Linked DNA regions of Bombyx mori. The protein of the gene in region 1 interacts with the protein of each later gene in a pairwise test. Links are inferred from orthologs where the notes say so. Each region holds a gene or a part of one and is shown on either strand. Other genes may lie near its edges.

What was found.
Region 2: the proteins of tyrosine-protein kinase Abl (region 1) and paired box protein Pax-6 interact in binary tests that used the Caenorhabditis elegans proteins (3 or more experiments, as listed by UniProt). The link is inferred for Bombyx mori from reciprocal best matches to the Caenorhabditis elegans genes abl-1 and vab-3.

Annotation. Positions count from the first base shown.
Region 1 is NC_085107.1:85,750-90,345, reverse strand, and holds part of tyrosine-protein kinase Abl, read left to right. Parts: coding exon of another isoform or gene 1-41; intron 42-117; coding exon of another isoform or gene 118-254; intron 255-331; coding exon of another isoform or gene 332-392; exon of another isoform or gene 393-461; intron 462-1,348; coding exon 1,349-1,499; intron 1,500-1,574; coding exon 1,575-1,731; intron 1,732-1,806; coding exon 1,807-1,904; intron 1,905-4,596. Other genes in the region: uncharacterized protein LOC105842509, read right to left, coding at 1-41, 118-254, 332-392. UniProt on the Caenorhabditis elegans protein: Functions downstream of migratory protein mig-13 and is involved in Q neuroblast migration during larval development.
Region 2 is NC_085120.1:4,529,034-4,534,117, forward strand, and holds the start of paired box protein Pax-6, read left to right. Parts: upstream 1-1,676; 5' UTR 1,677-2,067; intron 2,068-5,084.

The DNA of each region.
Region 1 (4,596 bases):
AGGAACTCCATGCCCGGGATGTAGCAGTCGATGTTGGGGATCTGCATCGAGAGGCCGCCATTAGGTCGTCGGGCGTGACAGTGGGACTAGTACGACAAACATACAACGCGCGCTCACCGTAATGTTGGCGTAGTCGGGGTGGTCGGGGTCCCAGCAGCCGGGGTGGTCGAACGAGAGGCAGTTGTAGCACTTGATACCTTTCGTCGAGGGCGACACGAACTTCTTCGGCTTGACCTTCTTGTGTTTGGCCGCCACTGCAATGATAAGTGCCAGAATCAGCGAAGACACGATAGCTAGCCAGGCTAGGCTAGCGGGGAAGCTATAGGCTTACCGAGCGCGGCCACACAGAAGAGCAGCAGTGCAGCGAGCAGTGCGGGGCGGAGCGGGCTCATGGCGGCGCGGCGCGGCGGGCACTGGCTGCGGAGAAGCGCGCGCTCTCTTTATACCGCGCGCCCGCCGGCAACATGCGACAAACACACGCGCCTGTCGCATACAGCCTGCTCACTTTTACTCGAGATATTTCTCATACTTTACGACAAACGGACAAATCCGATATTAGTTGATCGCGCATGTGACCTCCTTATATTATATTATAAAATTATACAAAGGACAGCGACCTAGTTTCCATTACATACTTCTCCATAAAGTTTGTACTGAGGGGTTAGAACGCGTAGATGCAACGAGTCTGGTAAGCTCCCTCGTTCGGGAAGACCTCGTGCGTCGCTGTGTAGACGTGGCCGATCCCACAGACAGGTTCCGGTGTAATTAAAAAAAAAACCCAATGTTCTTTGTATGGTACAAAATTCACACAATAATACAGTAGGTGCTTGTTGAATAAAACAGTTCATTCGATTGTAACGTTATAAATGAATTTCTTAAGCGACATTTTCAGACTTGTAGGTAATTGTTAAGTGAACGCCCTGTACTCGTCGACTCGCAACACATCGGTTTATTTATTTGTTTACACAAATATTTATTATACATTTTATGGTGACTGATTGAAAAATATTACAGTTTCAATTTGTCATTATATTTTCTTTTAATCAATGCGGGAGTGAAATCGTTTCGCTTTTTGCAAGTTTAATATTGGAGACATTTAAGAGATATGTACAAATTACAAGAAATTAAACAAAATATTAATTTATGGAAATGAGAGAAGTTGCACGTCGAGTGCTGGAGGCGGGGCGGCGGCCGAGCGCGCAACTTCACGTATCGTTACATAAGCCGATATCGATAAACAGAAACCATTGTTGCGCATTTGATGGTTTTTTTTTTGTCATTTACGTAATTGCTTACTCTTGGAGCTGCGCGTTAGAACAGTTAACGAAGGAAGCATGTGGTGGCGCAGGGGTACCGCATGGAGTGTCCCCCGGGCTGCCCGGCGCCCGTCTACGAGCTCATGCGCGGCTGCTGGCAGTGGAGCCCCTCCGAGCGGCCCTCCTTCCGCGAGATACACCACGCGCTCGAGCACATGTTCCAGGACAACTCGATCACAGACGGTGAGCGCCTCGTTACGCAACATGTACTCGTACTAACAGCGAGCGGCTGCTATAGATGTCAACGGTGTGTTTCAGAAGTAGAGAAACAACTCCAAGAAGGCAGCGGCGCGCAGGCCGCCGGCACCCCGCTGCTGTCGCTGAAGAAGACGAGCGCCGACCCTCGAGCGGTGCAGATGCGGCGCCCGACCAACCGCCGCGGCAAGCAAGCCCCCACCCCTCCCAAACGCACTAGGTAGCGCACCCGACCACAAGTAACTGAACACGACCCCCGCCACTCATCGACATACTCATCGACCGCGTGTTGCAGCCTGCTGTCCTCGTGCAGCTCCTTCCGCGAGTCGCAGTACGCCGCCGACGAGCACGCGCCCGACGACGCGCCCGCCGACGCGCTCGCCGACCTCAACGGTCAGTGTCTCACGCAGCGTCACGCGCCGTCACGCACTCCAACAACCGATATAGTGCAATAGTACGCCTCCGCTGTACACGGAGGATATTCATTACGGAATGAAGCGGCCATCGCTTTGTTTGTTTTTAGGTTCCATGTTAAAACTCATACCCGGCTTACTTGACGCTATAACGTTATTCGTCTAAATGACGCACTACAAGTATACCGACGCGACCCACGCGACCCACGTGACCCACGTGACCCACGCGACCGAGGGCGACTTTGTAGTGCGGTACTTACGCACATAGCTCAAGTCTTTTTTTTATTTTTGAAGATTGAATATTTTGGCACTTTGTACGACTGCCAGTCTAGTTCACAGAATAATGGTCCTCACACTAAAAGACGCAGGTATTGTGCATAATGGTCAGTTCATTCAGAATCTTCTTGACGGCAATGTATAAATAATATTAGATGCGGTTTAACTTACATACGTTTTTTAAATTTTATATTTATTTTAAAAATTATATAATTTCTAAAATGAAATTGACAAAAAGAACAAAAATACAACAAACCGCACGCAGCTCGAGATAGGGATCAGAGACCTTCATGGAAATGTTCTTCAAATTTGTAAGAAGAGTACTCATGTTTGTTAAAAGTGTACACACCGTCAATTATGCTTTTTGTTATAATATTTTTATGTACAAAAAACTAAAGTCAAATGTCCTCAATGTCTGTACGTATTGTACCATAACTCAATCTTCGGAAGTAAGATAGAATATAAGACGAGTAGGCTCTGAGGCCGCGCGCCGGCGACACACTGCTCTAAGATACTGTTTTCTGTTTGCCGTGTCTCGGTGCAGCGGCCTAGCGCTCGGAGCCCGCGCTCTGTAAGTATTCCACGGCACCTGCTGCTCTAGCCCTATCCCTGCTTAGTGTAAGATGTAGCTCCTCACACTCGAGTCTGTGTCGGCACCGCGCCGCGACCTAGTCTGCATGCTCCGTCCGGCGTGCAGTAGGAAGGAACGAGCGCCGCCGAGCCGTCCACGGGTCGTCAACAATGAAATTTGTAGCATCGCCAACATTAACAGCCTGCTAGCTGGCATCGGCGCAGTATTTTGACGCTTAGTTTTTTAATTTTTTCATCGAACAGTCACGTATGCTCCCTGTATATTCGTACATATGTACTAAATCAATATTGAGATGTTTGATTGTGATGTGAGTAATGAGTCTAAAAGGGTTCTATACATCATTAAGGTCGTACATGACTCCATCCTGTCTGTGAAACTGAAACAACTTCGACCCGGCTGTAATCCCTCCATCCTTAAAAAAAAGACTAGGCTCTCAATGCTACGCAGGAGACAGTATCTTTGTATGCCAAAAGAAAAGTCCACTGTCTGTCTGACGCCAACAGAATAAAAAACAGATTAGATAAAACAAAAATAACCTTACTTAAAATGACAATATCTGGAAATTTTGAATATATCATTTGACACTAATAAATACATATAAACATTACTGATATTTAAGTTAGGTCCGCTTCTTGACATTGTCTCAAACTGCTGGCACAATAATAATTCACTTAACTGTAGATTATAATTCAAAATTTTAAGTTAGATACAAAATGAGGAAGCGTAGGTATATTGCAACACGGAGCTGCGTTGTTATACGCGAACATTGAGGAACCGAGAGTAAAGGATCACTCTCATCCGCTCTGTCGTTGTCACGTTGTAATTGTTATGGATACTGGTGACGCTATTTGTGACAACCTGGGCGACTTAGACTTCCCACGTGTTCTCACAGCAGTTGAAGTGAATCTACTCGGCCTACTCGCAAAGAAAAATAATAAGAAAATAAAAAACAAGTAGCAGTATGACTCACCACCAAGTGTCTGCACTGATAACCCTAATGCTATCAAACTGACTAAGTGTAGGGAGGGTGGTCTAGTCCCCGTGTGCCAGCTCGAGCAACTGGCTAACGAATCGACTACTGCGCGATAAACGCACGGTACCAACCCACTCGACTGCGCCCCGCATCCTCTGAGTCTAGCCCTCTACGTGACATTTTTTTTGTGATTTTGTCAGCTGCTTAGCAAGAACAACTTGAGTTCCGACAATGCTAATGTTAGTGGACTGCGTCGACGCTGCGAAACTGGCAAACATTGTGCATTTTTCTACAAATTTCATAGTTGACGAATAGTATTTTACTTGATCTGTTCATTTTATAGTTTTCCTGATTTGGGATAGTTTAGTTTAGATTTGGTGAAATAGTGAAGTTATAATCCTTTTTATATTTTTCCCTCAATATAAATAATTACGTGACTTGAAAATAGCATGCATTAATTTTTGTACCTACTTCCAAAGACAATAATACTTCCGGAAACTGTACATCTATTCTTCTCACTCTTTACTTTTGTCGTGCTACTGAACTAACCGCGTGCAGCCTTGTTGCAAGATTGATATTGGACTAGATTTTACCCGCGGCCTTACTCGAGAATAGCACTTTTGTCCTTTCGTGTACCCACCCCTGACAACGCGTATGCAAAATTTCATGATGTTCACTTAAGTTGTTACGTCATGAAAGTATAAAAATAAACAAATAACGTCACTTTCGTATTAAAGTAATAGTATGGGTAACAAGTAGGATTGTGAGAGTAGAGTAGTAGAAGGGAACAGGCCAACGAGGAAAGGAAATTCATCTTGCTCTTTAAGCGCT
Region 2 (5,084 bases), on another chromosome or scaffold:
TATCTCCTCTGTCTACAGGCTGTTTCTTTTCTCTTTTTGGTTAAGAAAAATTATAAGATTTTGATTTTTTTAACACAAAACAGTTAATTGATATTTTTAGTATTGTTCGTTGATCTATTTTCTTTTTTTTTTCAGTAGATATTTACGAGCAATTTATACTCTTTAAATTTGGAAATATATGTTCTTTTTTGTTCCAAAGACACCTAGACACTGGGAGATAGTAGAAAACGCAGAATAGACCCACTTGAAATGTGATTCTGGAGAAAAACTCCGGATATCGTGGACTGATTTCGCAACAACGAGTCTATTCTTGAGGAATGAAAATAATGAAACGCCTCTCCTGCACGTTGCAGGCTCTTATCTGGCCTCTTTTTCTGGATATGTGTCACGGATCTTTCTATCGAGCTCGTGATGGTGCGGGGCAGGGTTAAGAGTGTTAAGCCGCACGATAGATCTCGCGTAAGGAGGACTGGCCAGGTCAAGGCTGCAACCTCTCTTGCATTGCCCTCTACGCGTAAGATTTAGACGCACAGCTATAATGGAGATTTTTTATTGCCTTTTTTGATAGGTTGACGACGAGCTCACAGCCCACCTGGTGTTAAGTAGTTACTGGAGCCCAAAGACTTTTACAACGTAAATGCGCCAACCACATTGAGATGTAAGTTCTAAGGTCTCAGTATAGTTACAACGGCTGCCCTACCCTTCAAACCGAAACGCATTACTGCTTCACGGCAGAAATAGGCAGGGCGGTGGTATCTATCCGTGCGGATTCACTAGAGGTCTTACAATCAGTAATTACACAAATTTTAATTATGCTGGTTTGATTTTTATTTCACGATGTTATTCCTTCACCCTGGAAGTCAATCGTGAACATTTGTGAAGTACGTATTTCATTAGAAAAATTGGTACCCGTCTGCGGGATTCGAACACCGGTGCATCGCTAGATACGAATGCACCGGACGTATTGTCCTTTAGGCCACGACGACTACAAAGTGGACGAGTGGCGGGATATTGTTCAGCTTACTATCAACTACTACCTATCAACACCACTTAACCACTTAAGATTGGATGGATTAGTTGATTTGCCCATCTAAAAAAATCGATCTTAATTATAAAAAACTCTAAATCTGTAATGAGTTTCATCGACGTCACCCTTACCGACGCTACCAGGGTTGCCCCGAAGAAAAAAATACAGAAAAGTAAGGTGTATATTACCTAATTTATAATATCGGCTTGCTAAATAATAATAATAATAAAACTAAAACAAAACTATAATTGCAACAACAAGGCTTAGATCTCTATTTTTAATACAAGCTTAAATACAAAATTATGTCGAATGTTTAATTAAAATTATTATAATAAGTACCAAGTCAAAATAATTCATCAAACATATCAACATTATTAAAGTGACAGGGAAAATAATTTTCATACGCAAATAACGCGTCTCGACGCTGTCGTCAGCCACTTCTAAGATAAAGACATAGACATAAATTAAACACATCATTAACATAACCAACCCCTTATTTCGCGAAATAATTTTATTATAATAGATAATTTAAAACTGGCCGTTTCCCCCACCGCCGTGGGGTTAAATGAGGAATGGGCGGAGCGTGAATTAAGACTATACAATAAAAAGCTAGGCGTCTCTGTCGCACAAATGAGCAGTCCTAAATTCAGTAAGCGGCTTACAATGGGTGTCGACACTTTATGGCATCTCTTTCTCGCCAGGGTGAGCGTGAATAGAGTCGTCTCGATGGCCCTTCATAGTTATAAGGTATACCGTAGCAGCGGAGGTCCACGTGAGATTCTATTTTGTAATCAGTGAAGTGGCGCCTTTATACCGGACTGGAGGCACGATGTTCGCGCGTTTGACAGTTTGACGTTTTGTTCGGCGGGAAAATCGTTTTACGAGTTTTCACGGGCACAAGAACTATTTATCGTAAAGCCTTAATAATTTGCTTAATTCGTTATTAGTTTAGTAAAGTGATGTTCATGCCGACCAGTTGAAGAAGACTTTAGTTATTGCTGTTGCAATAACTCGGATTTTTTGTCTAGGTAGAAGTTAAGGTATGTGTTCAAATATATTTAAAATATCAAATATCTTGAAGCTTACAAAGTTGGTACTGAGATTTCTTATAAAATTAAGCAACATATATTGACATAAAGAATTTTACATTATCAAAATTAAGAAATAATCACATCGGAAATCTTCAGACCCGATAAACCGCATATCAACTTTAATAGTAATCTATTTTATTTTAGTATGAGTAACATATATGAAATTTAATAAAACACTATTTACCAAAATTGTAGATTTTCAAGCTTTATTATTAACCAATTGTATATTCAATTATAACCCCCCATGAAAACTAGTGGTCTCTGAAAGAAATAAAATCATAAATAGTATTATGGCATTTTGTTAGTAGATCCATTGTTGAAGATTACAATTTTTAATTACAAAACAAGAACATTTAACTGTTAGGGCTTCAAATAAAATACCAAATTAATTTAAACCAAAAAGTGTACTATACGAGAATCTCCGTAGATTCCGTAATTCGTTTTGTGTGATTTATTTTATTACATTTATATTGATTTACTTTATATTCCATTATTCACGGGAGGGTCAAGATGAACAGGGTTGTGAGTGGGAATTAAACTAGTTTTATTGCTATATCAATAATAATAATATTTAAAAGAAATTCGGATACAATTAGTAGTTAGAAAACTAAGCCGAATAAATATTAGTACTTAGGATGCTTAATGTCTTTTAATTTTGTTTTTAGTTTTCTAAAAGTCGTGACATAAAGAGTAGTTATAAATGATTGATAGTCATTGAATTTATCAACATCAACCACGCTGTCTAAGTTCTCAGTTCGGGTAACAGCTTATGAGATGGGCTCTAAGGTTGTCTGTCTGTCCGAATAACTAAGTTAAAACTGCTCACTTATTCGACTGCAAGTAAGGAAACGATTTACGCGAAAACGCTTTTGGGTATTACCTTCATTTACGAATTTTTTCTCGACAAAACTATAAATTATCCATTAAAAATACAACCGTAACTAGGTTATTTCGAAAAACCTTCAAAATCCGTCCAATTCAAGGGCGTGATTTCAACGCTCATAATGACGAAGACGGCCTATCTGAGCTTAGTATTTTACAGCAAAGTGCCAAACAGTGCTATAAAAATCTCGCTTCGAATAACAAGAAATTCTGATTCGGTGGTAGATTCCGAGAATCACTGATCTTGTTAAGGCTAGTGTGAACAAACTCTCTCAGTTTTAGCCCGTGAGCTCACCTAGATGTTCAAACGTAGCTGGAATAACCTCTTAAGCTATCAGCGTGTAAGGGGCTATTCTATAGGCTACATGGGTAAAAATAAAAAAAATAACAAAGCTAGATACACACACTTGAATACATATATACATAATCAAAACGGTATTGTATACTTACTATATATAAATTTTTTTTTAATTAAAATATTTTATAGGCGTAAATTTATCGTCCCTTAAACCAAATACTTACCGATAATGTACTTCTCTTTGATGTTTTTTTTCTAGTGGAACTTTTATATTGTTTATTTGTAGTCGTCCGTTTCACAGACTTTAATTTTCCTATAGTTGATTCCAAAGTCGTAATATTGTATTTAACATCAAAATGTTTCGCTGTAGTAACTTCAAGCATAACTGTATTATTAAACACCGTTGTTAAATTGATGTTATTTGTGCTAATATTTTCTTTTTCTGGTGTCGAATTTACAGAATGCTCCGCAATTTTGGAAACGGTTGTGAAATCGAAGCCTTTGATATCAGTAGAAGCAGTAGTAGAAGCAGCTGATCGCGCTTTCGAAATTTCTTCATCATTTGTTATAGTCTCAACAGCTTCATAAATTTTTGTTTTCCCAGTTGACTCCGAGGTGATAGTTGACGGTTTTGTTGGAGCTTGCGTAATGATTTCGGCTTCTTGACGTACCACATTCATACTGATAGCGGTTGCTGCGTCAACATTTTTTATAACTATCGTATTCTTACGTAATATTTCTTTAGTATTATCTGCTTGTGTTCCCTTTTTTGTTACTTCTGATTTTACTTCACTTCTCTTGATTAGTTTAATGTGTTTGGTATCATTAATAGCCGTTATTTTAGTTTCCAGACTTTTCAATCTATAAACATTGGGCTTACTGGTACTTTGCATAGGTGAATGTCGCAAAGCTCTGTCTGTGAGTAATTTCTTAAATTCGTCAATACCCATAAAGGTGTGTGGTATATTCGTTTCGACCGGATTATCTATGTATATTAGGGGTTTATTTTCAGCTTCACGCGATATATGAAGATTGTGCTTTTTGAAACCATTAACCTCTTTCAATTTTTTCACGTGTACTTTGTATACTTTATTGTTCTTGTACAGGCGTCGAGATGCGTCATTGTCACTTTCTTTAACTGGTAAACAAAGAGTTACTATAACAGTTTTTTGTCGATCGCTTCTGTGATGTTGTTCTATTGAATTTCTTAATCGCATGAACTTTCGACACCGCGCTTATAACAATAAGATCTTTTAATTTTATTAATATCTTGCCTTGACTTGGCTTTTTATCGTTTATGAGTAGCAGTAATCACCGGTACATCATAGGAATGTCGAGCGTCTTACTTCGTCATCATCATCGGCCTATATCAATCCAGTGCTGGACATAGACTTCTCCAATTGCTCGCCACTGAGCATGATCCTTGGTTTCTCTCATCCAGCTCTTTCCACCCTGCACAGATTATCACTCCACCGTGCCTAAGGGCGTCCTGTACTGCGTTTGCCAATTCGCGGTCTCCACTTACTTACTATCAGCCCAAAGAGATCCCCTGCTGGACATAGGCCTCCCCCAAACCTCGCTACATTTGCAATTAAATATGACACGCGTATTGTGCAATCAATCTGCACTATTATAGCGTATATTTTATGTTTATCATTGACATGATTTTCATGGGTTGGTGTTTGTTAAAAAAAAAACTGTAGTACTGTTCGATTCTGGGACAAACATTCAATTGCGAGCCAAAATTATTAGGTTTTTTTTTATATTAATTTAATATTAAAACCAG